Linked DNA regions of Lytechinus pictus. The protein of the gene in region 2 purifies or fractionates together with the protein of the main gene of each other region. This does not show direct contact. Links are inferred from orthologs where the notes say so. Each region holds a gene or a part of one and is shown on either strand. Other genes may lie near its edges.

The links.
Region 1: the proteins of E2F-associated phosphoprotein-like (region 2) and protein AAR2 homolog purify together in Homo sapiens (affinity purification with mass spectrometry; 4 studies listed by BioGRID and IntAct, counting the BioPlex papers as one, with this or other methods). This does not show direct contact. The link is inferred for Lytechinus pictus from reciprocal best matches to the Homo sapiens genes EAPP and AAR2.

Annotation. Positions count from the first base shown.
Region 1 is NC_087252.1:7,314,115-7,331,024, reverse strand, and holds the start of protein AAR2 homolog, read right to left. Parts: upstream 8,941-16,910; 5' UTR 8,832-8,940; intron 451-8,831; 5' UTR 435-450; coding exon 1-434. UniProt on the Homo sapiens protein: Component of the U5 snRNP complex that is required for spliceosome assembly and for pre-mRNA splicing.
Region 2 is NC_087251.1:39,829,288-39,846,197, forward strand, and holds the start of E2F-associated phosphoprotein-like, read right to left. Parts: upstream 8,738-16,910; 5' UTR 8,256-8,737; coding exon 8,143-8,255; exon of another isoform or gene 7,951-8,142; intron 6,403-7,950; coding exon 6,224-6,402; intron 3,253-6,223; coding exon 3,049-3,252; intron 1,784-3,048; coding exon 1,206-1,783; 3' UTR 1-1,205. Other genes in the region: ATP-binding cassette sub-family B member 10, mitochondrial-like, read left to right, coding at 15,030-15,459, 15,748-15,963. UniProt on the Homo sapiens protein: May play an important role in the fine-tuning of both major E2F1 activities, the regulation of the cell-cycle and the induction of apoptosis. Promotes S-phase entry, and inhibits p14(ARP) expression.

The DNA.
Region 1 (16,910 bases), on a different chromosome or scaffold from region 2:
GTATCCTCACTGATAAGATTAGTCAAAGAAACCCAGCGTTTCAGGCTCTCATAAGGGTAAGCTCCGAGGAATGGGTCCCATTCTTGAAGCTGAGCTTTCTCATCCTGATTGGAACTATCAGTCACTTTCACATCTACCAAGTCTTCAATCCCTCCATCCCATCTCTTGATGACAATCTCCCGAGGTTTGAAGCAATGGAAGAACCCTGTCCTTGGTGCGCAGTCTCTGCTTTTCAAGTTCACTGCACTGTAATAGACAAAGTGCACCCCGGGTGGGATCATCTTGACTCCTTTGAAGCGGTTGCCAGTGTTCCAGGAATTGTAATCGATGCCAAACTCTGTCCCAGGAGGGACGTTGAGAAGGACCAGAGCAGCACCTTCCTCAAACAGGACATTGGCAGTCTTCTGGTCCATGTTACCTGACGAGGATGCCATTATGTCCTTGACTAGCCTGAATGCAAAATGAAAGAACAAGGAAATGAAGCGTAATCTGCTTCCATAACAATTGGGAGAGGGGCGGGCGCTATCATTCATAACAAGACAAAATCAAACAACTTATTTCATGAGAGTTGTTATATGAAAAAAACTTAAAGTAAAGGTGGGGTTGTGTCATACTATCTCACTCATTTCAGACATCTGTTTTCAGCCTTGTTTTCAGAAGGCTGAGGGCCTATTAAACTTTCCCTATTTCCATCACTTACAAGTGATGGAAATATAAACTGGAATTTTCAGTTTTGCTAATTTACTTTTACTTAGTGCAGGTCTTTATCCTGGCTAAGAGGATATAACTTTTTTATTGAAGTATCCTTAAACATGAACCTGCCCACATACACTACCGGTCACAATTCTTGGACTCACTATTACCTGTTAAAACCAGAGAATAGATTCGGTCCAGTGAATCTTGTTATCTGGTTTTAACAGGTAATAGTGCGTCCGACATAGGGAGGTGCTTCAAGATGGCGGAGTAAGTGTCAAGAGTGTGAGGCCTGTTCGTACGTATTCTTTTCTCTCCCATTTGATTTATATTTTGATTTACATCTTGATCTCACCACTGAAACAACAATGAGTACCAAGGGAATAGTTAGAAATGCATCTCTTATCACTGATTCTTCTGGAAATTCTCCTGCTAAGAAGAAAGAAAAAGTTGAAGTTGATACATATAGTTCCGTAACTGCACGGCCGCATGGATCAAAATCTGACCCAGTTGGGGTCGGGGAGCTGTCGGGGAGCTCTCGGCAGAGCAGCCTGGCAGTGATCAACCTCGCCATCAATATGATGACTCTCCACCAGCATGGTTTGTGGCCTTCGAGAAACGCCAGGAGAGTAGATTTGATAGTCTTCTCCAAGAGTGCAGGGATGAACATCAAAGTATTCACTTCGAGATGGATACAATGAAAGCTGAGATCAAATCCCTCTCCACCTCCCTGGAAGAAGCAACACGGAAAATTGACGACTTAGAAAATCGATCTCGCAGAAACAACATCGTGATATGGGGCGCACCAGAGGAGATAGAGAGCCAAGATTGTGTTCTTTTCATCAAAAATCTGCTTGGTGAAGGGGGTCCAGCTACCAATACCATCCAGAGGGCCCATCGTTCTGGGTTCATGTCGACAAATCCCAACAGAAAGCCCCGGCCAATTCACGTTGGTTTCAACTCCTACTTAAGTAAGGAAGCTGCAAAGAAAAGGCTGATTTCAGTTTTTAAGGCAAACACCTACAACGCTGGAGGGGTCAAGGATGTTTGGATGTACGTGTCCGATGATTATTCACGCTAGGTACAACAAATGAGAAAGGAGAAGATGCCACTACTCAAGGAGCTGCGGAATAAAGGCGCAAAAGCCATCCTAATCTACCCAGCCACTATTAAGATTCGTGACTCTACAGGTCGTCTGATCGACCCTTAGAACTATGGAACTTGCCCATCATATTCAATTCCATAAAATCCTCATACAGTAAAAAAAAAAAAAACAATCTCATCTATGGATTATGGATAAGCCAATATGACTTCATTGTTTAGTTTTTTGTTTTGTTTTTTTTCATTTTTTTTTCAAACTTTATTTTTTTTTTTTCTCTTTCTCTCTTCTATTTTTGTTTTAATTATTTCTTTTTCTTTGGTGGCATATGGGAGAGATACAAATGTCCATTCAGATTTCTGCAACAGGTACATGTATGCTCAAGCCCTATAACTAATTTTCAGTCATGCCATGTATTGTCCAATATGTTTTGAATGTTACAGTAGCTTAAGGTGTTGGCAATTCTGTAAGCGTGCTGTGTTTGTATATTAACTTGTATATATGTTAATATATTAAAAAAAAAAAAAAAAAAAAAAGGTAATAGTGCGTCCAAGAATTGTGACTGGTACAATGTATGCATGTATGCTCTAATTGAAAATCATTCTCAATGTAATCCATGGAAATAAACTAAAGAATGTGATTTCTAATTTATTTTATGGTGAAATATGAACAGATGATTCATATTTGCGACCATAACTAAGTAATGCTAGACGTAACATGAGCATGAATGGCTTTTTAAAGAGACATTACATTCATGGTATTACATAACTTTAGCAAACGTAATTAGTTAAAACAATCTAGCTAACATTAGATCTATCTAGAATAAAATGATAACTAATATGGTACTAAATTCGATTCTTTTCCTAACCCATTCACACGAGTGCAAGGTTAGTACAAGTATTAGTACACTATTACCTCGCACCAAGAACAGCGTTTGGCAGTGGATTTCTAGCTAGTGGATCGCACGTGCTGCAACACCACTTCTGGCATCCACAACACACAAATTCTAGTATGACTATGCCTTGATTTTTCTGTGTGCGGCAGCATATAATAAAACCTTGAGTGTTCCTAACATTATAGCATCACTTGCATCAATTGCAGTCTGCAACCACTAATCTGTAATTATTTATTAATTACAGTACACACAAAACACATGCACAATAACAAATCTTGACTTTGACATAATTAAAAAGTTAACTTCATTTCATGATCTGTCCTGTCTAACGTTAGAAGTCTACCTAAAATTAAAAAAGGATCATACGCCTACGATCATTCGCCTATGCTCATTCATTTTGACCACACCCACTGCACCATGCCCAGGGGCGGAAATCTCTCCCAAAAGGTAGGGGGGACACAGGGGCGGATCCAGCCTTCGCCAATAGGGGGGGGGGGGGGCGGAAATTCGTTTCAGCCATATTTTCCCCGATCGGCAGCTCGAAGATGATTTGTGTTTATTTCTTTGAAGGGGTAGTCCTCATTAGTCACTTCTTAGCTTTATTCTTATAAATTCATATATAATATCATAATCCTTATTTATGTGATGCGAGCGCGAAGCGCGAGCTAATTTTTTGGAAATTGTATGTGTTTTTTCCTAAAATTTGAACATTCTGGGTAATGTTTGTTATCCTGAAAAAAATGTGTATGCAACTTAATAATTACTACGAACGCAAAGCGCGAGCAGAAATGAACTGATGGAAAAGATACCTGTTAAAGACTGCGTGCAGTTAGCATTTAACAATTAAATAATGCGAGCGCGAAGCGCGAGCTGATTTTTTTTGGACATTTTCACCTAAAGAATGGAAATTCTAAGCACTTTTTGTAACTCAGGCAGAACAGGTTTATACGTAGACAATTGATGCGGGCGCGAAGCGCGAGCGGAAAATTTCGAGATTTAGTCCTATAATATTTACTGAACGAGACACTCTAGTCATGTTTTGTAAATCATGAAAAGGATGAGTATTAATAATGTGAGCGCAAAGCGCGAGCAGAAAATTTTTATATACGTTTTGAACTGGTACCTGTTGAAAAGGTACCTGGTAAGGACTGCTTGCACTTAGCCATGAAGGCGTTACATATTTCAACAATTAAAAAATGCGAGCGCGAAGCGCGAGCTGAAAAATTTCTTAAATTTTAATCAATTTTTGTAATCGTGAACAGGATAGCTATATTATTCAACAATTGATGCGAGCGCGAAGCGCGAGCAGAAAAAAAATCGAGATTTAGACCTAAAAATGGGCCACTCTGTTCATGTTTTGTAAACAGCCATAGGCTGATCGAGGGCTTTTTACCGTGTTTAAATAAAATAAATAAATCAAAATCAATGTTTTGTAAACCATGAAAAGGATGAGTAATAGGGGGTCTTCCTACATTAATAATGCGAGCACAAAGCGCGAGCAGAAAATTTTTGATATTGTGATCTGAAACTGGATAATGATTTAAATTGAGAACAAATTGAGTATTTGAATAAACATGCGCGCGCGTGTTCCATATTTAGACCTAGAATCTAGGCATTTCTAAATACATCTTTAATCATGAAAATCATGAAACTTTGATATTCCGAGCTGAAAAAGAGTCAATTACACTTTTATATTTCAAGCACTTTGTAGGAAAATTGTAAGGTGGATATGGATCGCACTAAAAGAGCAAAAATTTTCATTATTATCACTTTGAGTTTTGACATAGGACCGGGACATCCTTAAGCGCGAGATGAAACAAAAGGGACAATTTAATTATTAAATTAATATCATATTTATTAATGCCCAATGAGGGCGCGAAATCTGATGATATTATGGCATAAAAACTGGAAATTTCACTTTGTAATTATGAATAGGCTGCATCAGTTAATATATTTTTAACCATTAATGCGAGCGCAAATCGCGAGCTAAAATTTTTGATAAACTGTCATAAAAAGGGGATTTTAAGTAGTTTGTTGTATAATCAATATTGAAACATACATAACTCGCCAATCAAAATGCCAGCTTGCAGCGCTAGCTGATACGTCTTGACAATCAGACTGACCTGAAAAGGGATATTTTGACAACTTTATAGAATACACGAAAATAATAGGTACCTGATAAATCAAAATTTGCGAGCACGCAGCGCAAGCAGCAAATGTTGATAAAATTATTCAGACCATAAAACTGACATTTTTACAGAGCACTTTTTAAAAATCAATTTGTAAATCACACAAAATAATGAAAGTTCGATTTCTGAGGTGAAATATGTTTTGTATATTGACTTCCAAACTTGATATTTGAGCTCCATATTGAACAAGATATGTAAATCACCTAACAGGCAATGCGAGCGCGAAGCGCGAGCGAAAATTTTATATAGTGGCACGAAAGATTCTTTTTATTTTCCAAGTCTTCCCCTCATTTTATTTTATGCACTCGTCGTCCTTCTCTTCTTTTTATCTTCTCTTTTCCCTCCTTTTTTTCCTTTTTCCTTCTTTCTTTCCTTTTTTTTCTTTTTTTGCTCCGCCAATAGGGGGGGGGGGGGCTCGGCCCCCCTGGATCCGCCTATGGGGACAAGGGGCGGGAAAATTTGACAAGCAAAAAAAAGGTTATCATCCCAAAAGTATGGTCATCTCGTCCCAAAATACATGTTTTATTTCGATTTAGAATGATGTATTCTTACCATCATAAAATAGTAGGGGGGACTAAGCTTGTAACCGATTTTGCAATCGGCAACCGATTCCATTCGATTTCACCACAATCGGCAATCACTTGCCGATCTTCGATCATGCCCCTTGAAGGAAAAAATCGAAAAAAAAAAATCGGCGTAGATCTGGTTACAGTGCGTGATCGCTCAGAACATATTTCAAGATTGTTTTTGAGGTGCTAGCTATTTAGAGGTCGCATTATTCAGGGAGAAAGACGCGGTATTATCTATGGCGATGTTTAAGAGGAAAGATGGTGATAGCTGATGCCGCCGTGAACTTTGAAAGGTCGTATTACCGACGGAGCTCACTGCGTTACTCTCTTACATCGTTTATGATGATATACATTTTATTTTCAACCTCGTGGTGATAGCGGATGCCGCCGTGAACTTTGAAAGGTCGTACTATTGACGGAGCTCATTGCGTTACTCTCTTACATCGTTTATGATGATTTACATTTTATTTTCAACCTCGTGGTGATAGCGGACCCCGCCGTGAACTTTTAAAGATCGTGCTACTGACGGAGCTTACTGCGTTACTCTCTTACATCGTTTATGATGATATACATTTTATTTTCAACCTCGTGGTGATAGCGGACACCGCCATAAACTTTTAAAGACTGTACTATTGACGGAGCTTATTGAGTTACTCTCTTACATCGTTTATGATGATATACATTTTATTTTCAACCTCGTGGTGATAGCGGATGCCGCCGTGAACTTTGAAAGGTCGTACTACTGACGGAGCTCATTGCGTTACTCTCTTACATCGTTTATGATGATTTACATTTTATTTTCAACCTCGTGGTGATAGCGGACCCCGCCGTGAACTTTGAAAGATCGTGCTACTGACGGAGCTTATTGCGTTACTCTCTTACATCGTTTATGATGATATACATTTTATTTTCAACCTCGTGGTGATAGCGGATGCCGCCGTGAACTTTGAAAGATCGTGCTACCGACGGAGCTCACTGCGCTACTCTCTTACATCGTTTATGATGATATACATTTTATTTTCAACCTCGTGGTGATAGCGGATGCCGCCGTGAACTTTGAAAGGTCGTACTATTGACGGAGCTCATTGCGTTACTCTCTTACATCGTTTATGATGATTTACATTTTATTTTCAACCTCGTGGTGATAGCGGATGCCGCCGTGAACTTTGAAAGGTCGTACTATTGACGGAGCTCATTGCGTTACTCTCTTACATCGTTTATGATGATATACATTTTATTTTCAACCTCGTGGTGATAGCGGACCCCGCCGTGAACTTTTAAAGGTCGTACTATTGACGGAGCTCATTGCGTTACTCTCTTACATCGTTTATGATGATATACATTTTATTTTCAACCTCGTGGTGATAGCGGACCCCGCCGTGAACTTTTAAAGATCGTATTACCGACGGAGCTCACTGCGTTACTCTCTTACATCGTTTATGATGATATACATTTTATTTTCAACCTCGTGGTGATAGCGGATGCCGCCGTGAACTTTGAAAGGTCGTACTATTGACGGAGCTCATTGCGTTAAGTACTCTCTTACATCGTTTATGATGATTTACATTTTATTTTCAACCTCGTGGTGATAGCGGATGCCGCCGTGAACTTTGAAAGGTCGTACTATTGACGGAGCTCATTGCGTTACTCTCTTACATCGTTTATAATGATATAAATCTTCTCTTCAACCTCGTGGTGATAGCGGACCCCGCCATAAACTTTTAAAGACTGTACTATTGACGGAGCTTATTGCGTTACTCTCTTACATCGTTTATGATGATATACATTTTATTTTCAATCTAGTGGTGATAGCGGATGCCGCCGTGAACTTTGAAAGGTTGTATTACCGACGGAGCTCACTGCGCTACTCTCTTATCCCCTTTATGATGATAGACATCTTCTCTTCAACCTCGTGGTGATAGCGGACCCCGCCGTGAACTTCAAATTGATTTGAAAACGCTAGCTACCCAAAACATTTAAATAACATATTTCAAATCATCGTGCGTGCTTGCGTCTTCTACTACATTTTAATTGCACTTGCGACTTTAAGATGATGCGTCGTAAGAGATCATTCCAATAATTCTAAATCGCTAGCACCTAAAAATACTTCTAAAAGATGTCCCGCCGATCGTTCATTAACCTGTGATCTATGAGAAATATTTTCATTTTATTTTCCTTTGCGCCTTTGCTCGGAAGATGCGTCTTTCGTTTATCTTTCTAATAAAAATCACTCGGTTTATTTTAAAGCAATAACACCTCAAAACCCCTGGCTTTAAAACACGTTCCAAACGATCGCGCATGTTGGCGACTTCCATTCCAATAATGCATTCGTCTTTGTGACTTTGTCAGGAAGATGCGCGCGACCGCGAACAACATTTTGATGTATTCCTTTGTTTTTAAACATCGCCGATTCGATTTTCGATTCGATTTCGATTTTAGAAGCTTAACTGCCGATCCGATTTTCGATCTGATTTTTGATCCGATTTACAACATTAGGGGGGACATTTGATATTGTGTCCCCCCTACTATTTTGAGTAGGGGGGACACGTCCCCCCTGTCCCCCCTGGGATTTCCGCCCATGACCATGCCATGGCGCGCCACACACTCATTTCTGTCTTCAACATTTCTTTCAAGTTTCAGTCCAGCTTCAAATGCCTGCAAATTTTCATCTTATTCAAAATAATTACATGAAAATTAAGACCATTTTAGCCCCACGAGTTTTATTGGGTCAACGATCTTGGGCTCAGATCTGCCGCCATCGAACTCCTTAACGTTACTCATTCTCTAACACTACAGTAGTACAGTTAACGTTAGACAGCTGGCAGCCGTCTGTTTCGCGGAGTTTTTCAACATTTTTTGATTTTTTTAATTTCTCCTCATACACATATGTATTTGGTGAGTGGAGCCAACGTAGTTCAGCGTAACAACCAACATAACAGAGACCGAAGCTTTTGGTCTAAGTTAACGTTAACAATACTTGGCCAAAGCCACCCAAGGGTTCATTACATGCCGCCGCGCACAGAAAATTCAAGCCATAGAAGTCGTGTGTTGTGGACCCAAGAAGTGAGATCCCAGCACGTGCGACCCACAAGTTAGAAATCCACTGCCAAACGCGGTTCGTGGTGCGAGGTTAGTATACTAATACTAACCTCGCAATACGTGTGAGTGGGCCAAAGCCAAGGCAAAGGCAAAGCTAAACCAGGTCTCCGTCTGCAACAAACACAGAAGTGTACAAATGGGACTACGACTTATCTCAGCATAAAATAGTTCTTACTTTTACGGCTCTATGTATTGAGACAAGTCACAGATCATGAAAATATATTTAGACAATGCCTATTCATTACAATTCCTAATTATTGTAAAACCAAACGCTTTTAATTACTTACCAGTGTAATATAGTGATAAGGATCTGAAAAAAAAAATCGTCTGCCAAATGATGTGAAATTATATACAGTAGCCGGTTGCGCGGTTCGGTTCTTAACTTGCCAAACGGTAGTTGGCGCTAGAGCAGAAGTCGACAAAGGTTAACATTGAGTTTGACGTTGGCTAACGTTAGTTTTTCTTTTGTATTGCCGAACGTTAGAATGTTTTTGGGGGTCTTTATATTTATCATTGTTGTTATAAATGTAAGTTTTAATAATTGGGAAGACATCGATGGTTTGATGGAAGGGAAATGGATATCAAAGCGTATAGCTATCTCTTCAAGAACAATTTTTTTTTAGTTTGTGTTTTGTTTTCTTTCAAGAAAACATGGTAATGATAAAAATAACATAGGGCCTATATAGTCATCACCACTCCTCCACAACCAGTATATCTTTTTTATTTCTTCTTTTTGTTATCTACTGGAAATTTGTTAAGGAATATAATGCTGATTATTTTCAAACATATATTTATTTTTAACTTTTGGGAATAAATACAATTATATTGGCATCACCCTACAACTGAATGGATTAGGCCTTTATGATACTCTGCCCCATCATATTTTCATGTTTATATCATGTTTTCCTCATCATATCCATTCACAGTAGGTAACCATCATCATCATCATGTTCATGATGATGATGATGATGATGATCATCATCATCACCACCACCATCACCATCTTCTTCTTCCTCCTCCTCCTCATCATCATCATCATCATCACCACCATCACCATCATTTTCCTCCTCATCATTATTATTCACCACCACAGCAGCATCATCACCATCATTTTCACCACCGTCGACCACTGTGACCATCATCATCATCATCATCCTTCTCTTCCTCATCCTCATCATTATTCACCACCACAGCAGCATCATCACCATCATTTTCACCACCGTCGACCACTGTGACCATCACCATCATCATCATCCTTCTCTTCCTCATCACCATCACCATCTTCTTCCTCCTCCTCATCCTCATCATTATTCACCACCACAGCAGCATCATCACCATCATTTTTACCACCGTCGACCACTGTGACCATCACCGCCATCATCATCATCATCACCACCACCACTATGATCTATCACCATTATTAGCTTCATCATCTTCATTATCATATCTTCATATCCTTATTTCTTTATATCTTACACAAACAACAAAATAGGTGACACACTTAAAACATTTTATTGGCTTAGAACACTTTATTCCAAATATGAACAGTGAAATGATCAGCAATAATTAGCAGTTCTAAAACAACTTGAAATTTGAATTACATAAAGATGAGAATAAAAACTTACAGACCAGAGTAAATATCGAGTCCTGAAGATATACCACTGAGAACTATGTATGAAATCAATTTCATTACCATGCTTACTTTCTCATTCTGTTAGCTCCTTTTTTTCTACAAAAATGAAATGTGTGCATGCCGACTGCATTAATGTTCTGCAAAGATCTCAGTGTTTCTAAAAAACATCACCTCTAAATTCTAATGTGACCCATATGTCTCTTCATGTTTGGTGCCTTGTATTAAAATTCATTCAATATTAATTTGACTTCCATCATTTAAGAAACTGCCTATGACTTCTGAAGTACATTTTTGTTATATTCTTTTGATAACAGCTCACATGGGTCATATTCTCCCCCAAAACAATAATTTTATTTGGGGGAGTGTTGACATATTTTGTACTCAAATTAATTCCACTGTAAATTTGCAATCAATGATTTAACTTTTAACAAAAGCTAAGAAGAAGATACTTGCAGTTACAAGAAACAAACCACTAATAAACTACAATTTTGCAATCAATCGCAAGACTTATCACTGATTGAACTACAATAAAAATAAAAAAACTTGAGCGAGGAAGAAATATTAAAGAAAGGTACTAACAAAAAGGGAAAGAGAAATAGAGGGGATATCAATATTGTTCAACTTAAAAACAAAATACAATTAATGGTTTTTGCAAGAGCAATGGACATGACTTAGTCTTTAAACTTAGTCTTCTCTTATCTTCTTATATGCAATGATATATATATATAGTTAGCGTATCCAGCATCAGCAATGACCAAGAAATGTATGGGCCCATGCACAAGCATAATAGAGTCACTATTGTCCCCAGACAATTGGGCCCATGAAATGCTTTGTAGGATCTGATGCTGGATACATGCCTGGTATCCAAATGTTTGCTATACAATCAAATATGTACAAGAAATGCACAAATAAAATAATGTACAATTTGATAGACCCCATAAGCTAGGGGAATGTCACATTGCGTTCTGTACACCATCCATAATTATCAAACTTCAAGCACCTCATGGCCATACGCAGCGGGGGGGGGGGGGGGGGGGGGCAAACTTTCATTTTTTAACTGAAAATTCACCAAAAGTACATGTATGCACAAATCCTTCTATTTCATTTAACAGAATGCAGAGGCGCCCCAATGACAAGCTCAGTCGCTTTGCTCTCTCGAATTAAGTTTATTTCATTGAAAAAGCCAAAAAATTCTGCTTACGGCCATGAGCATCTTAGCAAAAAATCATTCTTTGATACTTAATGACACTTATTATTAAAGATAATAATAATATTACCAGCATGCTTAATATATAGCGCATATCACTGCCAAATGCGTCCCTATGCGCTTAATTGGATATTATTACCCTGGCTATAGCCCCACAGCCTATTACAGAACGGTGGCATTTCAAGGAATAAATTCCTGCCAAGTACCCATTTACCTCACCTGGGTGGAGTGCAGCACAATGTGGATAAATTTATAGATGTGATACGTACAATTAATGTTCAAATAATAGTAGCTTGTGCAATCTGACCCAAGAGGGGCATGTCACATTGCGTGCTTTACATCATCCAAGCTTGATAGTTTTGGAAAAGCACCTTTCACGAGGAAATTTCATTCTTTGAAGCTACAACCTCCCTGTTCTGCAGAATCCGAGGTACATGTAACATTGAATGGCAACAGATGGCAGTCTACTCATTAAAAGTAGAATTTTTTTTTTTTAGGGTTGACTAAATTACAGTTTATGTCACACTATTCTGATATTGAGTCAATCAATTTCTCAAGTCTGAGTACTTCAACTCAGAATATATTCATCTTGGAATCCATTCCAAGTCATATTTGATTCCACTAAAATGAATGAGTACACATGGAATTTCATACAATACACACTGAACTCAATGTCCAAAATATTAAGAACAGTATTAAACAGGAAGTTTCCTGAATTATTCTACTTCTTTATACAGCTAACTCATAACATGCCTGCAAGGTTAGGATTATTACTTTTTAGGGGCCATTCTCCCCCCCCCCACAATGGTGCAATTGCTGAATTTTTTTAGTATTTGAGAAACCACATACACTTTCATGTACAATGAGCAAGATTCTATGGACCCATCCAGACTCAGGGTGGAAAGCAGTTGTGCGGCCGAGCAAAGAACGGCGATTGACTAATTTATACCAAAGAAGTGTACATTTTAAAGACCCCCGGTGTAGACCATTACACCCACTAAAGGGATGCCTTTCAATTACAATATGTGTAATATTGGTATTACTGCTCATGCATATCATTTGTCGGTATGTTATTATTATAACATCTTTTTTTTTCCTTGATGATGATTTCCACACTAGATCTGAATGGGTTTTTATGGTAAAAGCTGCAAGTACATGTATCTATTCATTTAAAGAATAAAATTGACAGGTAGATCAAAGGAAAAGGTAGCAAAGAGAAAGAGAGAGAAAGAAAGAAACAGAAATAGCTGAGAACAGACAGTGAATAAAGAGGGAGAAGGGGGAAAAGAGGGAGAGAAAGAGAGAGAGAATGAATTAGCAATGTCAAGACAAAATTTTATCAACTCACAACTACATATGGTATACAGAACAAGCATATAAATATAATTTGTTCATTAATGTACATTATCACTTTATTGAAATCATACCTTATATCTACAAAAACAAAACATTGTGAACCATTTTAAATAAAAGATGGGTGCATCATCACTTCTACAGTTCAAATCATGTCAGGAATAGATTCAATCATCACCAAGAAGTAATTGGGCACCATTCAAAGATTAACAAATTGCTTTATAAGTGAAATAATTGATAGGCAACTGCTATTACATTTATTCTCTGAAAGTCCTGAAACCTTTTAGATATTTCTTACTTTGCAAAAAATATGGATGCAATAAATGGTTGCAAAACAAACATGCTCTTTCAAAATACATTCTGAGTAGACTAGTAGAAACATAGCAACAAAAGTTTGATATTCTTATTTAAAAGCTAATTATGAATAAAAAGGTACTTGAGAAGGTCTCCGTTCATAATCTGTGCAATCATATTCCATGAAAGTCGCCATAGCAATAATAGATCACTGACTTTAATAACTTGAAAATAAATTGAAAACAATGATTTTCTCGGAAACTGCATTCTTTCAGCTCAAGCAGTATGCCACTCAAGTTTAATAAAAGTAGAGACAGTGATTTTCCGTTTAAAAAAAAATTGTATTTTCCGTTTCAACTTGATCTAAAAATGGAAATTTTGTTTTGTCGCTGAAAATGTACACAGCAAAAACGTGAATTCCGTTTTGCTAAGGTGAATTCCATTAATTTTTACATGAAAAGTATAAGAATCAAACAGAATTTCTGTTTTATTTACAGAATTTCTGTTTTATTTACCGGTAAAACGGAAAATCTCTGTCTCTATAAAAGGTGCGCACTAAGACATTTGTGAGGAGTAACAGAATTTTTACAGAAAATATTGATTATTAGATAAGTACATTAGTAGGTAACAACTAGAATAATAATATATAATAAACATCATCTAGATTTAATACGAAATCTAGATAACAACAAGATAAAAAATTTGAAAATTCTATGTCTGATTATAAGGAAGATTATTTCCCTTTAACAAACATATAAATATAACTCCAAGGTCCTAAAATGTAAGATGAGTTAAATGTGTAATTTTGTTGAAGAGTTAACATTTTTATTATAAACCAAGGAAACTATCTGAAAATCCATCTACAAATAACTTCACGCATCTAGACATGCCTCTCAATATCACATTGAGAAATTCTAACTCTGACCTTGGTCTAAACTTACAGCGAGTTTCCAACAAAAATTGTTTGTAAGTTCAAAACGTGAAAACAAACTCCACTTCAGTTTCAATACAATTCCTGAAAAATATAACATCTTCACAATGCTGTTTCGTAAAAGAAAATAATCAGCATGGAAAAGCAATCTTTTCTTACCAATTTTAAGAAGAAAAAAATATTTACATATGGCATTTTGCACCCATTTGGTTGGCCGAAGTAACTGCTTCAACCATACATTCTACAGTATCAAAAAACAAGGAATAGATAACAATATTTATAGACGAAATGGATACAACTTACACAGTTAATACATCTTCAATGTTAATTACAATATTCACAAATATAAATGGATATCCAAAAATGTACAATCTTAAACATGATAAATGCAATCAAAAAGAAAAATTACATAAGTCAACTGGCTAAAGTACTTTCTGATTGATACTGTACAATAAACAAGCTAACCTTTTTTTTAACAATCTTTTTCAATATTTTTTCTACAAGACGCTAGAAGCTGAGGGAGCAGAAAAAAGAACGATTACTCAAAGCAGATTAGTTTGCTGCAGTTTCATGCAAAAAAAATAGTAGAAAATTTGAAAGCAATCCGATGATAAGAGTTGATCATGATTGTCAACTTCTCCTTTTGATTTCATTTTATTTCATCATCAATGCCATATCACGTTGAAGATGGGCACATTATCGTCTTTGGCAGAATTTTTACAGAATTTCTATTCAAATGGATCTTCACTCAACACACTGAATAACGGCTCTTAATGCGAGAATTGGATGGAGAGTGCACTTGTGTTGATCCATCAGGGTCAATGAACTTTTTTTATATGTGTATGTCGGGGTCAATGAACTTTTTGAAGTGTTATTCAATTATGTTTTTAATCTTTAAATTGGCAACAGTATTTCCTTACATTTGTGATTTTTTTAACATCTAAAGTTTTTGCATCAGAATAAATTGAAAATTATCGAATTTGCAGTTTTCAAAATGTTGTCAATATATTCAATAATTTTAGTGATCACTATTAATTATAAGCATTTCATATTTCCCTTTCCCCCCTTTATTTTCATTTATTCTGCACAATTTCTATAGCCCTTAAAAAAATTGGTACTGATTGCCGATGGGTTGAGATAATCTTGTTATTTTTTCACTTTGAAAATTGCTAGGCAATGTATAATAATTTAGAACAGGGTATAATGTTGCATTATGGGTCAACATCAGTGCACACTCTTCCTGAATCCCAACATAAGATGGCGCTTTTCAATGTTTAAGTGTAAATGTCACTTCAAATGGAATGTAATAACCCTTAAAACACAAAACACATTATTTGTAAGGCACAGCAAATATTTCAAGACGACATTAAGTAATTTATTTCAAACCATTTGTGACCAATCACCATCTCCCTACCTGGTAGAAATCTTCAAATTCTTTTATTGATTATTGGACTTTATTTCTGTAATCTTTTATGCGCTGTGAGGAAATTTTGCAAACACAAATATACATCACATTCATTTTTGCTCTGAAAATCATTCTAAAACAGAAGTTTTCTTTTCTTCTTCTTGTTCTACAAAAGCAGTTAATATGCATTTTCCTTTTATTTTTTCCTTAGAAATATGAATAATTCTGTGGCAGTTTCGGATTATACAAAGCATACTGTACAAATTACTGGGTAGAATGCAAGCAGACGGCCCGACTACCCCCAACGCAAGATGCAACACAAATTTTCAATGAAATTGCTAGACAAGTATTGATATGCTGTTGGCTCTTATATGCAATTAAGATCTAATTCAATAAAACACTAAAATAGCTTGGATTAGATCGCAACTTGTGCTTTAATTGTTATAGCTCTCTGTAATAAATGAATGCTATGCTGTTGTTGGAGAATTCGGTTCATATTATGTAATAACTGCACAAGTCAGAAATCAAAAACTTTAATAACATAAACATGACTAAAGAACTATTTTGCAGAATTGTAATAATGTAGTGGGTCTTGTTGCACAGAACTTGTTATCGATTGTAACAGACAAGCTATTGTTATAAGCTCCTGAAATGGTATCAGTTAATTGGCTGACAGCAAATTTCTCATAGAATTCTAGAATCTGTGAGAACAAGTTTGTTTGTTGTGATAAGGGCTTAGTGGCTTTTGAGAGTGCAGATTTGATTAAAATGCTCAAAAGTTTGCCCCCAAGAAAGAGTTAACAAAAGGTTAGAATGGCCAGCATTCGCAAACATGAACAAATTTACCAAAAAAAAAAATTATCAGGTGAGCTTATTTATAAATCACATAAATACCTCTTAATGCAAGCAAGAAATTTGAAACAGGCAGCAAAATTTGAATAAATCCCCCTTCATAGGAAAAAATTGCGCTTTGGAAATTGTGCAAAAACATCAACTTATTTACATTTAGCAGTCTGTCATTAACATTGTTCTACATAAATTGCCAATATGATGCTCGAATAGTGGTTATAACATGAAAGCACGTTTACATAATAAATACTTGCCTTTTTAAATCGCAGTGCATTTTTCAAAGTGCTGAATCAAATCACATTACATAAAATATCTGGTGAAATTCAGAGCAAACGCAACTTAAATCAGCTCTATGATACCTTATCCATATGTTCAATTTTCCACACATCATGCTCGCAGCTAAAATCATTAACCTTGAATAAGCCTATACAGCATAACTCCGAATAACTATATATTACATTACAGATGTTGGTCACTCTTGGAGTCCGACGACACCATTAGAACACTGTGAAAACGGATAAAATCGAAAGTAGGTACATGTAAATAGTTGAGAAAAAAAGTCAAACTTTGTTGACAACAAAATTATGTGATGGAATTTGACAGTTCCTTTCCTCCCTGCTCCATCATGCATTAAGTAGAAAGATTGGAATCCTGAGAGACTATTTCACTAAGAGCTACGTTTGACCTGGGCCCC
Region 2 (16,910 bases):
TGGGCCACAACGCTCCACTAACCATTTGGTCTATTGGTAATAGCTATGTAGCCAATTCATCATCTGTGATGGTTCTACAACCCTTCATTTAGATGTACCGTTATGAACCAAATTTTCATTTGACGTAGTAAAAATTCACAAGCACCAAGGAAATGGAAATTCGACAGACTGGGCATAGACTAAATGACAATAGGACGGGGGTATTAGACCAAGTGTTGTGTAGATCGAGTTCGTAGCACACCAAATGGGTTGAGCCCCTGTGATATTAGACCATATGAGAAGTAGAACAAGTGAAAATATACTATAAATAATGTCATTTTGATAAAACTCCTGTACTCAAACTGTAAAATAACCAGAAAAACAGTTGAAAAAAAAATTGCAAAGAATGCTTGGCAATCCAGGTTGCTAGTCACATTTCACAAATTATGCTCACTGGCCCTTATTTTGAACTCAGGCTTAAATTAAACCCTGGTTTAAAGTTGTGGTTTAACTATGGAAAGCCAGTTGTTACATAAATCTCTAACGGTAGAGGTTCAATGAATCAGCTCATTTGACTCCCAAAACATTATTAACTGCCTGGGAAGGATAAGTATGACAATTGTCTTCACCATTAAATAAGTAGTAAAGAGCACAGTAAACATGAGAAGCATTCACTGTAAACAACATTTGAAACGTTTCCCATGATTCTAGCACAGAGTTAGACCATGGTCTAAGTTAAACCCGACTTCAGAATACGGGCCATTAGAATTTATATTTGAATACTCAGTAGAGTACATGCATTAGACAGGATTGGACAGTGCATGTACATGCCGAAATTTGGAAAAAAATAGAATTTGTACCTAACATTAATTCAGTATTAATTAGTAGAGTCATGATTAGTGCAAGAGGTACAGGCAGGGTATCATAACAAACTAAAAGCTGAACAGTCACTTTTTCAAAAAGTTAAAATATTATATTTGATAATCTCTGAAAATGAGCCCTCGAATATTGGATTTCACTTTTTTATATGCACTGGTAAAATCAAGATTCTTCAAAAATATGATACGGATTCATGAAACTGTGATCCTCTGATTTTCAATGGGTACATAAAAAAGTTTAATGCTTGCTGTTCATCTGTCAGAATAGATAAGTGAACATCTGTAATCATGGACTGGGAAATGTCTGAAATCCAAAAGTAGGGTCCTCCAGAGTCAAAGATTACGTCCTCAAGCAGCACTTGACAATACATTGAAAAAGTGATAGATCTCCTGTTTGTCCAGGACGGCCACTTCTGTGTTGCAGATCGCACACTTGACAGGGTGGAAGAGTTCATCCCCAGTGGATGCACCTCCATCCTCCTCGTCCACTTCTCCCCCCTCATGCCGCCTCTTCTTCCTCCACTTCTTCTTATTCTTGGATTCAGGATACCTCAGTTGTTCGCTCCGGACAATGCAGCAGTTCATGACGAACATGGCCCTGTACTGGTTGGTGTAGAGTTCGTGCCTTTGACAGTCGATGCAGAGTGTTGTCATACAAGCAGGACAGTTCAAGATGGCATCTGTCTTGGGGATGGACTCTTGACTCTTTGCACCTTCGGCCTGATCGGGTTTGGGAGCCCGGATTGACTGGGCAGAAGCGCCAGTCCCTGAGGGACTTTCTGAAGAGGCCAGGTCATGTGATCGCTTTGGTGCCCTCTTAGGGTAGTACTGTGCTCTTTGTTTGTTCATCCAGGTTTGGTTGTCATCATCAATGTTGGGGTCATAAAGGAGATCATCATTGGTTGGAATGCGGTGTTGCTTTTTGGCTAGGAAATGGTAAAGATATTCAAAGAAAAGTGGAAGAAGGCAAGTGGTTAAGTCAAATGGTTGAAAGCTGTTTCAGGGAGAATTACTTCAAAATGAAATTTTCTTTAGTAGGGATATAATAGCTGGTATTCATCAGGCTGCAAGAAATCACAATGAATTTTTTGGTTCATTATCTTTTTCACTGATTTTCAATAAAGAAGATGAATCCTAGCACTCCATAGGAAATGTGAACTGAAATATTTTATTAGTCTAAGAGTTAACCCTTGGGTGTCATTACGAGTTCAATTTTATTTCTACATGCATCCTATTTCATACTCATACTCTGCCAACCGTCATTTGGCAAGACATCAATCTGTATTTGCCCCTCTCTATCCAGGGTTGTTATGTGGTAAAAATATGCACAATATAAATCATTTTCAACATATCCTATTAGATTTACTATAAAATATGGTCTGATTGCTGTCTGAAAGTGTCTAAACTTAATTTTCTATATTGTAACCATTTCATGGGTAAATTGCCAATTAGTATACACTTGCTTTGTCTTTACTTTTCATTTGGTCTCATCCCACATGGTCTAATCCTTGTTAATCTACAAACAAATTATCTACTAACCATTTGGTCTTATTACCATCAAGCCAATTTACAATTTTGCCTAATTTAATACATTTAGGCTACATATATCAATTTTGTTTAATATCAACTTGGCCAAACACCAATTAGTCTATAATTAGATGAACTGTATATGAATCAAATTTCCATTAGACAAAATGCAAAATAATTGGTAGCCAACGTTGAAAAATAGACCAGACCATCTGGATATTAGAATAAATGGGAATTAGACAAAGTGGGTATGAGACCAAGTATATTGTAGACCAAACAGCAATTAGACCAAATGGCCTGTATTCTAAACTCGGGTTTAAATTAAATCCTGGTTTAAAGTTGTGGTTTAACTACGGAGAGCCAATTGGAGCACAAATCCCTAACAATACACATTCTATATATCAACTCATATGATACCCAAATTGTTCATAGTTGTCTGGGAATGATAGCTGAAGTATTTTTCTTCATTATCAAAGCAAAAGGAAACAAAATAGTAAACATAAGAAATATACAATATAAACAGAATTTTTGAACTTTTGGCTTCCCATAATTTTAGCACAGAGTTAGACCGTGGTCCAAGTTAAACCGGACTTCAGAATACGGGCCAATTGGTTAATTCGACCACCATAACACCTGCAAGCTGTGATTGTAAGGATAGGCATACCTTGCTCCTTGTCTTCATCCCCACCACCTGCTTTCGCACCCTCTGCAGAGTTTTCCTTTTTCTCTTCTTCCTCTTCATCAGAGTCAAAGTAGACTTCATCATAGCACTGCTGTTGAGTAGGTCCTCCAGGGTGTCCACTTGATGGTGCTGCTGACTGCCTCTGTTGTGCAATGGATCTGGCTGCTGCAGAAAGCTTTTTCTCCACTGCCAGAAATGATAAGAGTATTATAAGGAAGACACAGATGATGGTTATCCCACATAACCCTTGGAACTACTGCACATGTCATCATAAAACAATGATGAAGGAGCTAAAAATAACACAATGTTGATACATCCATGGGCAGCATAACTAACCTCAACTAAAAATTGGGGACACATTTTCAAAGATATATTTAGCCCATACTTCTACCCAACCAAAAAATTACTTTTTTTCTTTCCAGGGCTCTTTTTGGAGAAACTTAAAAATTTTCCAGGGCTACTTTTTCATTTTCCAGGGCTCTTTTTCCACTTTCCAGGGCTACAATTTCTGGAGCTATTTCGCGGCTTTTTTGCGTTTGTGTGTGTGTGTATGTGTGTGTGTGTATATATATACACGGTAGCTAGCATATACCAGGGAAGTATAACACTTCCCTGGTTTGACCTTCGCATTGTTTCTTCGAAGTGATTGTTTATGATTTTAGTGTTGTGATGATAGATTGATTTTGATGCTTGAACGATATCTGAGTTGATTCATGGACCTAATACAGACCTATTCAGATTAGATCATGGAGGTAGAACCTCCATGAATTAATCCAAGTTTGAATGTTTGATACTTGGTTGACGTGAGCTTTGCGTGTTTACTATTTAGTGTTATAGCCCATTTGCTAAATTAATCTAGAAAGATCTGTATTCGTGTCTAAAGACAATGTAAAAGAAAAAGAAAGTTCTGAATTTGTACAATTCTGAGGTAATTTATTTTATCATACAATATAGGTACCTGCAAATGTTATGAAGTTGAACAAATATCCTTCGTACATATTTGACTGAAAGTTATTTAAATGACACTTTAAAAAAAAGACTTAAAATTATTCATACAAAATAATGATACAAGTCATAAAGGTCATTGAATTGTTAAGCGTTCGTATCAGTTACACAGATTCATGACAAAAAGGCCTACCAGAACCAAAACTGGCAATTTCCATCATCCATCATGAATGCCTAGCCTTGCACGGCCTCTAATTGAAATGAACTTATCCACGTCTTTGCAAATTTTACCTGACCTAATTTCTCCACACAGTGAGAGAGGCCATGTGGCAGCCAAACCAAAACAGAATGAAAAGGGCGGCAATCTCGTACCCCCCCCCCCCACCACCACAAGAATATCAGATTTCCAAACATGTGCTTCTCAAGATTGTGCAATACATGACGGAGACAAAGAAAGTTATGTAAACAAATTGCCGAGGGTTGATGTCCCTGAATTAAGGGGCTAGTCTACGTTTTCAGTCACTTAAGAAAATGGCGAACTGGCCAAAGGTGAAATACATCATTGAAAAAAAAATGAATGTTTGGATTAAAATAACGAAGATTAAATGAAATATGACTGAAAAATATCCATAGTTGAATCTCTACTTTTATTACTGACAGAACAATAACATCATTTTTTTTATTAACTTCTTGCCAATATTCCAATAAGGCAAGACTCCCATTTAAGACTAGCAAGCAAACGTTATCAATGGGATTTTTGAATGAAAGAAAAAAAAATCAAAGCGTGATTTTTTTTAAAGGGATAGACGAGACTCTTGTTTTGAACAGAGATATAAAAATATTTAAAAACAAACAAGAGGTGATAAACACTTCATTAAAATTATAATGAAGTTCGTAGTGAATTACAACTTGTAAAAGAAGAAATTAACAAGAATAATAGGGAAATAAAGTTTGGAAGAAAAGAAGGAATGAGGAGAGACAAGCTTTGGGGGGAAGGATCAAGATGGGTGGCTGCAGCTCGACATGGGGCTAGAGAGTGTACATAAATGGGAGGGGGGGGGAGCAATCATCTATCAAGTCGCCCAAAATCTTACACCTTCAAACTTCTCACACAATCCACACACAAATCCCAGTTCATGATACAATCACAAGTGTCGCTCAACACATGCGCACGTGGTCTCTACTGGCATTTTACAGTCACACACACAGAAATACACACTACACACAATGCACACGATGCATCCCCATACCACATGCAGTCACACTGAGCCTAAAGCACACAAGCAGAGAAACGTTCTGCTCGAAGTGTATGACTCCTCGGCTCCAAATTCTACATTTATTTTATCTCAGTGCTTGGAGTCGGCGCTGGGGCCGATTTTCGTCCATGAATGAGAGAGCATGGCAAAGACTCGAGTCCCTTTATCTCAGAACCGCCGCCGCTTGGTACTCGAGTCTCCAGAGATCAGGGTCGACTCCCCGACTCTGGCATTGAGAATCGGGTAGACTCGATTACCCGGCGCTGGTTCCCAAGCCTAGTTGACGGGGGCGATTATGAGTTTTGCAGTCGCCCTCGTGTGAATGTTTTTAGCCCTTTTCCGGGGCTCTTTTTGGACTTTCCGGGGCGAATTCGCCCGCCGCCCCCGTGTAATTTTTTGGTTGCTTCTACCCCCCCAAAAAAAAGGGCTGAATACGTATGATTAACGCAGTTTCAAACTAAATATTTCATAATTAGACACCAACTTACTGCTATTCATTCAAGCCCTGTCTTCTACTATTGTGATTATTCATAAGTGTCTTTCGCATTATGAATAATTAATGAGCCATTTTTTAGAACTTAAATCAAACTCCTTAAGGTCACAAAGTTGCAAGTCACACTGATCAATTATCAGCCTGACAGGGCCCATCTCAAAATATTAATAACCATATTCAATCCAAGTTTTTACTTCTTAGTTTCCTTAGCATTGGAGCTAAGCAGAATGGTGGTAATTTGGACACAGATTGTCTGCTGGTAGAAAATTTTAGTTCTTCATCCCCTGTTTCTTTTGAGGTACATATTCACCCAAAAATAAAAATAAAATAAAAATTGCTCCAAATGTACTTGAAACCATGCGAAAAGGGAGAATTTTTCGACTTGGGGAATGATCATGCTTTACACCTTCCAATAGGTAGTGCCACCACCGGGATTTTCTCTTTCCCTTATACATTAACTCACCATTAACCCTGAATTGATTCTCATGGTTTTTCATGGTTGCATCCAGCTCCATCTCCATCTCTTTCTCAAAATCATCTTCACTGGAGGACATCTGAAGGCTGCCTCGGCTCAAGCTCCTCGTCAAACGACGTTTCTGTTCTGGAGTCCCATTCAGGATGATATCTAACTCATCTTCAGAGCTACATTCAGAAAGAAAAAAAAACAGTGAAAGAAGAAATAAATAGCTTAGTCTTAAAAGCAATAAAAATTAGTAGACAAGAATTAATTTCAAACATGCATGACAATTTTCATCTTAATCATCAGATTATTAATTATGTAAATCAATATTGCTTTCCTTTTCTTTTTATGAGGATCTAGTCCCAGTCTTATATAACATGGAAATGTAACCTAACTTTTCATAATTTTAGAGTTTGAACATCAAATTTATGTTCTCACAAGTGTTGCGCAGGCTGGATTCCGACTTCTTTCATATTATGTAGATCTAACTTAATAAATTTAAAATTGGAATCACAAATTGACAGGTTACCTATTCAAGATGATGGGGTAAGGAATCAATGTACAGGGTGTAAGTGCAAACTTTTATTCAAAATAATGAAGTGAAAAATCAGTACTACAACCGACAGTTATCATAGACGAGGTGAAGTTCAAGTTCAACCACAGGCCACACTGTCAGTGTCACTGACAATGTTTTAGTTTTTGCTTTGAGTTTGACTTTGTGAGAAATTGAGACTGATCATAACCGATGGATTATCCTCAAACCTTAGTTTTAGTGGAGAAAATGTCCGATTAAAAAAATTCTGTTATTTATACAATTAACTTTTTGTGTTGGTGAACTTCCCCTTCAATTCAAAGTTCACCCCCGCTATTCTTCGTTGGTTACGCGTAGCCAGGAGGCTCCTAGAGAGTAAAAATCCTTTACCAACCTATGCTTACTCTCCACGGAGCCAGGAATTGCGTCCCATTCATGTGCATGTACCGCAAAAAAAATGAAACTTTCGCCCCCGAGATTCTACTTTCCTTCCAAAAGATCTAGCCCTAAATCAAATGGGATACAACTTCATTTCCGACATTTCTACGCTATTGATTTCATTCTCATACAAGAATTCATTAAAAAATATGAAAAGACAGGGAAAACTTGCCACCATGTTTACGTCGCCATCTTGATTTCTTTGTCTTTCGCCATATGCGTGCTGTAGGCATGTAGCCTTGGCCTTGCATGGCGAAAGACAAAGAAATCAAGATGGCAACGTAAACATGGTGGCAACTGGCAAGTTTTCCCCATCTTTTCACAATATTTTTTCTTGTTTTTTTAATGAATTCTTGTTTAAAAATGAAATCAATATCGTAGAAATGTCGGAAATTAAGTTGTATCCCATACATGATTTAGCTGGGCTAGAGCTTTTTTAGAAGGAAAGTAGAAATCTCGGGGATGAAAGTTTCAGTTTTTTTTCGCGGTACACGCGCATGAATGGGGACGCAATCAAATCCCTGGCTCCGTGGAGAGTAAAGCATATACCCAGTTGTTGTGTGTCCGGACAGGTTGTGTGTCCGGACGATCAATTTTAGAAAGTCATTTGGAATTGGAAAAATTTACAAGCGAAGTTTCATAAATTATATGTTAGGAAATATTATAAAGAACAAAATAGAAGATGATTACAAGTATTGAATTTATATTTTTAGTGTAATCCAAATACAAAAAAGAAGGCTTCAAAAATATAAAGTGTCCGGACACCCGACCCCCCATCCTACCACGTTAGTAAATGATTTTTACTCTCTAGGACTAGGAGCCTCGATCCTGGCTAGTTAGCGGCCGCGACCGCGCACTGATGCAGCCGGGCCGCCGGGCGATCGCGACAGACAACGGCGCTCGAGCCGAGAGGAGGTTGCACAGGATCCGCCACCCAGCCCGGCCAGATTACCTTTCATTTTCCTCATCGACATCGTTGACGCTACGATTTCCACTCCCAGTTCCACCCCTTCCAAAAATATTGAAGGGAACATTGCACACTCTCTGATCGTGATCTTCATCCATGGTCAAGCTAAACTAATCTGGAAGTTCTTGTGATAAAAATCTCACTCTTTTTCGGCAATATATGGGACTGAAGCCTTCTATCTTGTTCGACGGTGCGGTGGATGCGACACCGGAAGTCTCCGTCATTTGCCTTACCTCCGGCTCCGAAGGCCGAAGTTTGTGGGGAAATTTTTCGACAGCAAATTTCAGGTAATTACAATTGTTATTATTAAAAAAACTGATTGTTTCTAAAGACAATTTTATGTGGTTCATTTCGGTATGATTGATTTGCAATAATTTTTAATTTCAACATGCTTTTTTACTAATTCTTAATTATAGTTCCAAAATGAATTTCGATCCGTAAACATGACAGTGAAAATACAGTATGGGACTGGCAACCGTAGCCGGCATTGCGGCGCGCGCTGGCTCAGTAGCCCGATATACCCCGGTCCGGTGGTTGATATACCCCGGTGGTTGTGTGTCAGGACTCAGTCTTAGGACACATGACTTTTACTTTTAGTTATGAAAAGTTTACAAGCAATTTATTTGATTTTATTAGCACAGAATGTAAGAAAATGTTAATAAAGAACAAATAATGATGGTGATCATGGTGATAAGCACTATTCAACCTATATTTTTGGCTTAGATTAGAGTGAAACTTAGACTTATTGTCTCATAAATAAGAGTCATATTGAGAAGTGAGATAAACATAATTAGTGTGAGTGAGCCAGGCCCAGGACTGTCTCAAGTCAAAGTCTCAAGCCTCAAGCAATTCTTCTGTGTTCGGACACCAACCCCCAATGGGTGTTTCCACAGATCCAAAACAAATTTCCTGAAAATGAATCCTTAATTTCCCGAAATTAATAGACATTTCCTGGAATTTTCAATTTTGATTTTTAACGAAAATCAGGGAATATGATGGGGTGTCCAAACTTCGGGCACTTTTCAAAAATATTCATCAGGCTTAAATATTTTCACAAAATATTCCTAATTTATACAAAACCAATTCAAGAAATAGTAACCACATTGACGGCAAGATCGTAAACTATAAAATCATGGACGAAAATGTAAAGTAGGTCAAGGGGATTTGCCGGTATCGCGATCTCAAAATTCTATTCCGATCGGCGAATGCGCGCTGTGCTGGAAAACCGTTCAGAAAAAGTGTGACCTAACTTCGCGGACCAAAGTTTTTGTGGACATTTAAACAAAAACTCAAGCTCAAAAAGTGAAATATTTATATCAGATCGATGGCAAAATGCTATAGAATCGGTTAGTACCACATTTAACTCACATTTTTGATGATTTCTGCTTGCAAAATGGTGATATCGTGATGCTTGTTGAAAATATCAGATTTCTTCAAAACAAGTGCTAACGGTGACAAATTTGCCGATCTTTTGCCAATATTTTCATGAATACTGAACTCATCCTAAAGAAACTTACACCAAAGGGTAATTTTAGGTCGCTTTTCACGTTGATTACGTCAGATTTAAAGGATATTGGCTAGTTTTTTAGATAATGACCGTCCGCGAAGTATGGACACGCGCGAAGTTTGGACACACTGCCATACAATGAGCCTAAATTTGGTCCAAGAAGAAGTGACCATAATCAAGAAATTTAACATTTTTTTGTTCATGCCATCTTTAAAAATAGGAACAAAATTATGAAATGGGAGCGCAGAGCGCGAGCAGAAAATTTTGAGCTACGACGACGGAGCCTACGTCTGGAGCCGGAGGTAGATCTTATGTTGGATCTAAATCTTACTACTTCACTGACTGTCACTGTTCTTAGGATACTTAGGGAATATATAGTGGGACCACCACATATCGACCACCTTGCACGCATTAAAATTATTGCATATATTACAAACGATACGCGCGGGAGATAGGCGCAGTGCCCATTGGAACGGTAAGAATCAATTTTACGAGAGAAAAAGAAGGGGTAAAAGGTAAAAATTTAGTAGAATTTATAAAAATTGTTTTTACTAGACCCGAACCCTGCCAAAAAAACAGTTGTTCATACCAAGAAATCCGATAGGAAACGGCTTTAGAAGAAATATCTGTCTCCAATTGTCGAATCATGTGCCGGAGCTCGCAGTGGAAGTAGTGAGATGATCATTTAGCATGTTGTCATCATAGAACTGATTTGGAAGAGTCAAAATATTTCGCCACCACAACAAGAATCGGCTGAAATGTGGGAATCTGATCTGCTCAATTTTCTGCACAAATGAGACGAAAACTAGGTTAAAACTGATAAGTATTTTCGCAGATACGATTCTTAGAAAATTAGGTGGTCGATAAGGGGTAGTTCCAACCATACTGAACGAAGTCATTATGACTCTGTATTCAGTTCCAAATTCTTTCTCCTCTTTAGGATGGCCGGATCATCTTTAAATACTACAATGAATATTTAAAAGTTGTTACGGTTAATTGTCGTTTAATTGTAATCAGGGGCGGATCCAGGATTTTCCAAAAGGGGAGGCATGCACATTATGATTTATCCAAGGAAAAATTGGACCAGCAAAAAAAAAATGTCTTCTTTTTCAAAGGGGGGGGGGGCACACTTCTGTTTTAACAGTATTTTTACATGACAAATTTCAATTTTGCTTCTCAAAAAGGGGGGGGGGGATCTGCCAGTGATTGTAATTTTTGGATTTCCCTGAAGTTCCTGGAATATTTTCATTTCCAAAACCTTTCCTGGAAAGTCGAAATTTCCTTAATTTCGGGAAGAGTGGAAACACCCCATCCACTTGCACTCTTCAACCACCCTGTCTGTGGTGAGCCTATGCAACATACAATGCACATTCAAAAACTTTTGTGATTATAAAAAAATCTCAGATCCATTCAGTTATGATTTGTTTTCATTCTAGACTTAGAAATAATTTTTTTCACCAGAGCGCTCAAAACCTTTCATTTGAGCATATTTTTGTGAGACCCTCTATTGGTGGTATTAGAGATTGATGCAGATCTTCATCTTCACAGACTCGCTTTTTAATTAGAAAAAAAAATATCATTTAGTTTTGGGCCAAGGCATATTTTTTTATGATGAATTTACTGTAGTAAAAACTGACTGCCAAAATATCAAGTATTTATCCAGTCTAGATCAAGAGAAAATAACCCAAACGTTTAAAATCTTTTTCTTTTAATTTCACCACGCAGGGGTTACTAATTGAGGACAAGGTTACATATCATGGCCTTGTATTATTGGATAAGTGCCCCCATCCTACCACTGGTTGTTGCATGTCCGGACGGGTTGGGTTTTATGGACCGACGATTTCTTCCACTAGGTCTAGTCATTTGAAATGGTTTGAAATTAAAATCAATTTTTTGTAGTTTTCAAAGAAACTTTTAGAATTTAAAGGCCTAACGTAGCATACATGTATGCGTAGACCTCTACTCTGTTGATATTCCCGACCTTTCGTTTGAGGACGCGCACGCTTATTTACGACGGTAGTTGATTTTGGAAGAGACTTTTTGGGCCCGTCATCATGGTCGTAAAACTCTGTCCTGCAATGCAAATTGTGTGACATGAGATTATTTTTTTCGTTTCGCATCTGCGACGGAAACATTCAATATGCGTTTCGTGTGCAAAATTCTGGTTGCTACTATGGTAACAGCGATATATCCGATTGAGGACGACTTTCCAAAGCAACATTTGACTCCTCCTAGAGCTCGAGAGGCCGCCCGGGGGGCCCACTTCCATTGATTAGTGGATACCAGGAGCGAACACGCGTTAAAGGGGACAGAGTGGGCAGGTACGTTACTTATAGGCCTATGTAACGTAATAAGGGTGTCAAAACGATGTTTAAAATGCTGAAAAAAAGGGATATATATATACTTGTAGGGTTTCACAAGCCAAATACTTGTTAAGAGATGCATTTTCATAATCTGGAAAAGAATTGCTTCCCTTGTTTAGGGTACTTTTCGAAACCTCATGGTCGTGCCTGGTATCCACTCATCAATGGAAGTGGTCCCCCCGGAATTTGAATCTAATCCCCCATTTCTGGGGAAAGAAAAACATAATGCCCATTACATCGTGTGCGAGAGGCATATCGTTTGTGTAGAAGGAGTAAACAAAAGAAACAAAAGAAACAAAGAAACAAAAGAAACGAGTTCAAACGTATTGCATATGCTGTGCGCATATCAACGCGCGCGGAATTTTCGGCTGGAGAGGTTGATCTGACCCATGAAATCAATTGCCAGTGATCCACCAATAATCCACATCAAATGTAATATCGATTCGATGGACTGTAATGATCTATATCTAAGCCTTCATTCAGTAAGTTTTTCCTCACTCAATATGTACTCAATTTGTTTGAAAAACCACTTTCTTATCCATGTCATAATCTATTTTAGGTCCTGCATTTCGAATATCTCCAGCCATCAGTCGTAATATACATGCATGTATGGTGGGTGTCGCGGAAAAGGATTTTGCACACGAAAAGCAAATCTGTAGGGCCTGTAACCCCCCTGTAACACAAAGCTTAGCATTGATCGTAGAGCAGTTTTCTACGTTTGATTCTATTGACTATAATGCACAATCAATCTTAAAAATCAAGTGTATGATTAAGCGTTAACTTTTGTGTTAGGGGTCCCTAATATTAGCGTCCGTGAGGACTGCGAAAGGTCCCAATTGATGGTGTGATAACTGATTTCAAAAGCCAATGGCAATACATGCTTAGTTGACTTGATAATCATTGATGCACCAAAGTTATCTAAGTTAGATCATGATTTTTCTCAATTTCAATAGGGTCTACAAACTTATTACTTGATCTAGTTAGGCATATGCTTATAAGTTTAAGTTAAACTTCATAATTTCTTTATTAGCATTTTACCAATGTCATTCCATTTCTTAAGCATGTTGAGGAGTTCTAAGTTATGCACAATTATGTCTAAACTAGGGTCAGGGAGTAGGACTCCCTCTTATGTTAAAATGATTTTATATTTTGATAGAGCCTGTAGCAATCTTCTGTGATGTTGAAAATTGACAAAATGCAAAAAAAATATATTATTCACAATTATATATAATTCGATATATCACAAATATATATCGAAAATAAATGATTCTGTACTTGAAGGCCTTCCAATGTAGAATTGATTTGAAAACATTTTTTTAGATGGGGATATAATATATGTGACATCTCAGGATCGAACGGGCTGCACTTTTTTGGAGTTTGGTAATTCGATCCACATGAATCTGAAAGTGTAGTGGAGCCTAGATACGAACCATCGCCTGAGGTAGATACTGTACATACCAAAATATGGCTTTATTCCGTCAAAATCTCAAGCGTGTGTAATTCTCAATGGCATCGGTTCATTCCGTCAGAAAAATAAATACCCAATACTCTTGGAGAGTAGACTAGTCGTAATATCGGTTGATAACCGCTATGAAATCCATGGCTTTGAAAAATTCCTGCTAGCTTAGTGAGTAAGGCGACAGACTGGAGATGCCTCGTTCTGCAGCGAGAGGTTCGAATCCAAGTTCCAACCGGAAGTACAAAAAAAAAGAAAAAAAACGATAGAAGGGGGTTTTAGAGAAGTATTTTTTAAAATTAGTGGAGGGGACATAACGAAGTCTTTCCTATTTACTATAAATTTATCTTTATTATTTCTTCCTTTTCCCCCCGTCAAAAAGCAAAATTTAGGAGTAATCGAGGAGGGTGCGCCCACCCTTTTCTCCATGATGCTGTAGTTTGGGCGTTAGTGGAGCTCCACCATTAGGAGCGCAATGGCCATCATCCGTCTGTGTAGGAGGAGGACAACCGGGGGGGGGGGGGGGCAGTCATATATATTGCTGTACAGTGTACACATGCATGATTTAAAAAACGCGTTGAAAGGGGTGATTTTTTTTCAGGTTTGGACGCATGCCGCGCATGCACTCGGAAAGGGTATCAAAAACACAGATTTTCCAAAAAAAGGTGGTTTTTAAAGAATGGTCAATGGTCAATCACAGGGTCAAATGTATTTTTTTCCAAAGCTTTTTTTTTTAAAGAATAGCCAAACAAGTATAGGGTATGTTTTTCGACCAGCTTTTTCACGAAGGTCATATTTTGGCGATAAAGCCTGCAAAAAACTTGTTTACATGGTTATTTTGCACACAGAGAAAAAACTTGTTTAAGGGGTGTTTGGAAATAATTTGGTCATGCATGTGTACAGCTACAGCAATACATTTGACTGGCCTCCCCGGGAGGAGAAAAAAGATCAGAAAAGTTGAAAAACTCTGAAGAAACAGTAGATTTATCAGTCTAGCGTGGTGTCCACTGCCTGGAATTAGCCTTGAGGTCTCATTGATGATGGATCAAGTATTACTAAACATCCTGCCTGATTTTCAGGTCACATAACTAAGGTCAAAGATCATTTAGGGTCAATGATCTTAAACCATGTTGGGGGAATCAATATATCGAAATCTTAACCAAGGTACATTTTTGAAATGTTATAACTTAGAAACTATATGGACCTCGTTCATGAAACTTAGGCATAAGGGTAATGGTGTATCACTGAAGATCCTGCCTGAGTTTCAGGTCACATGACCAAGATCAAAGGTCAGTTTGGTAGAGAAATTCTGTTCTCCATAGGCTACTTGTGTTTTGGGGGTTTGAAAAATAACCGGATGAAGAAGAATGTTTTTTTTTTTTGCCTGGCATTGGTTCTCTGGTGTGAATGTGGCATTACTAATCACACAAAAATAACAACTTTGTCAGTAAATTACCTAAATTCTCTTATATGACTAGGTATCTGGTCTCAGGAAGGAAGAACCAGAGGAAGTCCATTCATCAGTCAAGGGTAAACTACCTCAAGAATGTATCTCCTGGGCACTTCCACCTTTATGCATCGGTTACCCGTCTATGGCAAATGCATCATCTCAAATAGTATGAACAGGACAAAACAATGCCTTGATTGTTGCCATAAATGTATTCCCTCAAGGATATTCCCAGGAAAGGCAATAGCGATTCCCCATTCGTCTTTCACACCAGCAAGGGTCTTCTGCACTTGCAGGATTTTCCCAAGGACTATAAAGCAGTACTACTTGTCAACACTGAGACCTTCAAGATGGAGTGCCCTAGTCGGTACTTCCAGGAGAACTTTTCACTCCTCGTCAGTCAGAAGAAACGGGTTCAGGAGAGCAGACTCGACCAAGAATGAACCTATCCCTAGTTTGACGGTTCCAAAGAGATCGGAAATCTGGAGGTTGCTGTCCTTAGCAGAACCTGAGAAATATAGACTTGCCGGTAAGTCATTCTAATATTTGTTGAAATATCTTGTATTGATGAAGAAGAATAGAACAATTTCTGTTTCTTGAGTAACTCCAGTACGAAAAAATAGGGTACCGATTGGATTACTGTTGAAAATGAAAATTTGGGATAACTAGTTATTAGTACCAGTCATTAGCAAATCTTTCTTTTAGCTAAAAAAAATTACTGGTCATGTGATAGATTTCAGCCAATCGTTTGACAGGGATACATATTACAAGCTTATAACATGTAGTCTATTTGTTATCACTATCTTCTTGAATATAGTTGCTATTGGACTCCTACTCATATCCAGTACTGTCACTATAGCAGTGCCCTTTGCCCTTGGCAAAGTTATAGACACCATCTACAATACATCGAGCGAAGAGGGCAGCAGAGATGATATGATGAAGAGGTTAACTAGGTTGTGTACGTTCTTGGCGGGGGTCTTCCTGGTCGGCGCAGCTGCCAATTTTGGGCGTGTCTACCTCATGCAGACATCAGGTTTGTCACATTCAATGTTTATATTATATTGGATGCAGTGTTCTAGCTAGACCCATTTTAGTGGTGGTTGTTATTTCACGGTATCACAAAGTTTTTTCATGCCATGTTAATGGTTTTAAAGCCAATAGTGAAGGAACATCACTGTAATAACAATCTGACCTTAGCAAATCTTTGAAAATACACTAATCATTACGTCAAACTCTCGTTGGAGAGGCGACCGCAATAGCTCAGGGCTTTTCTTCTGTCATATACCCCGATAACAAAATCTTCGTCACGGAGGAACCAAGATATTTCATTCCCAAGCGCTATCAACCCTGAATTGCTTGATAATCCCTCTTATGTAATATTTCTCCTCCGCATAGGCAAGCCTGAGGGTTAGACCATAAACAACAGCTGTGATATTACATAAGAGCAGCTCTGCCTGTAGTAGGCCTTTAAGAATTATGGTATTTGATATTTAATCAAATTTTCAAAGGCATATTGTATTTTGAAATTCAATGTTCATTTGTTTTCAATTTCGAACGAAGAAAATCGCCCCCGAAATAAGGAAACTATTAAAGAGAATAAAAATGACTGCATGCGATGGCAAGCGAGTTTGCTAGAATCAGCATGCTGTGTATGTAATTGACACGCAAAATAAAGGGTGAATGAAAGAAAGGGTGGGAGGATTACTTGTTACTACCAGTGGCCATCAAATTTGAGCAAGAAAGAACGCGGACTTTGTGTGATGTGATAACCCTCTAGCTATCTTAAATATCATAAATATCGTGAAAGCTAAAGATAAAAGATAACGTTTTCAGAATACCACTTCTCTTCATTTTGTTCTTATCTTTTTAGCGCGCTTTTGTATTATCTATGCGCGAGTTATAGATTTACGCGCTCAGCATAGGATGGAAAGCAAGATAAGAAAAAGATAAGAACAAAAGATAAGAATGTTTTCAGAATAA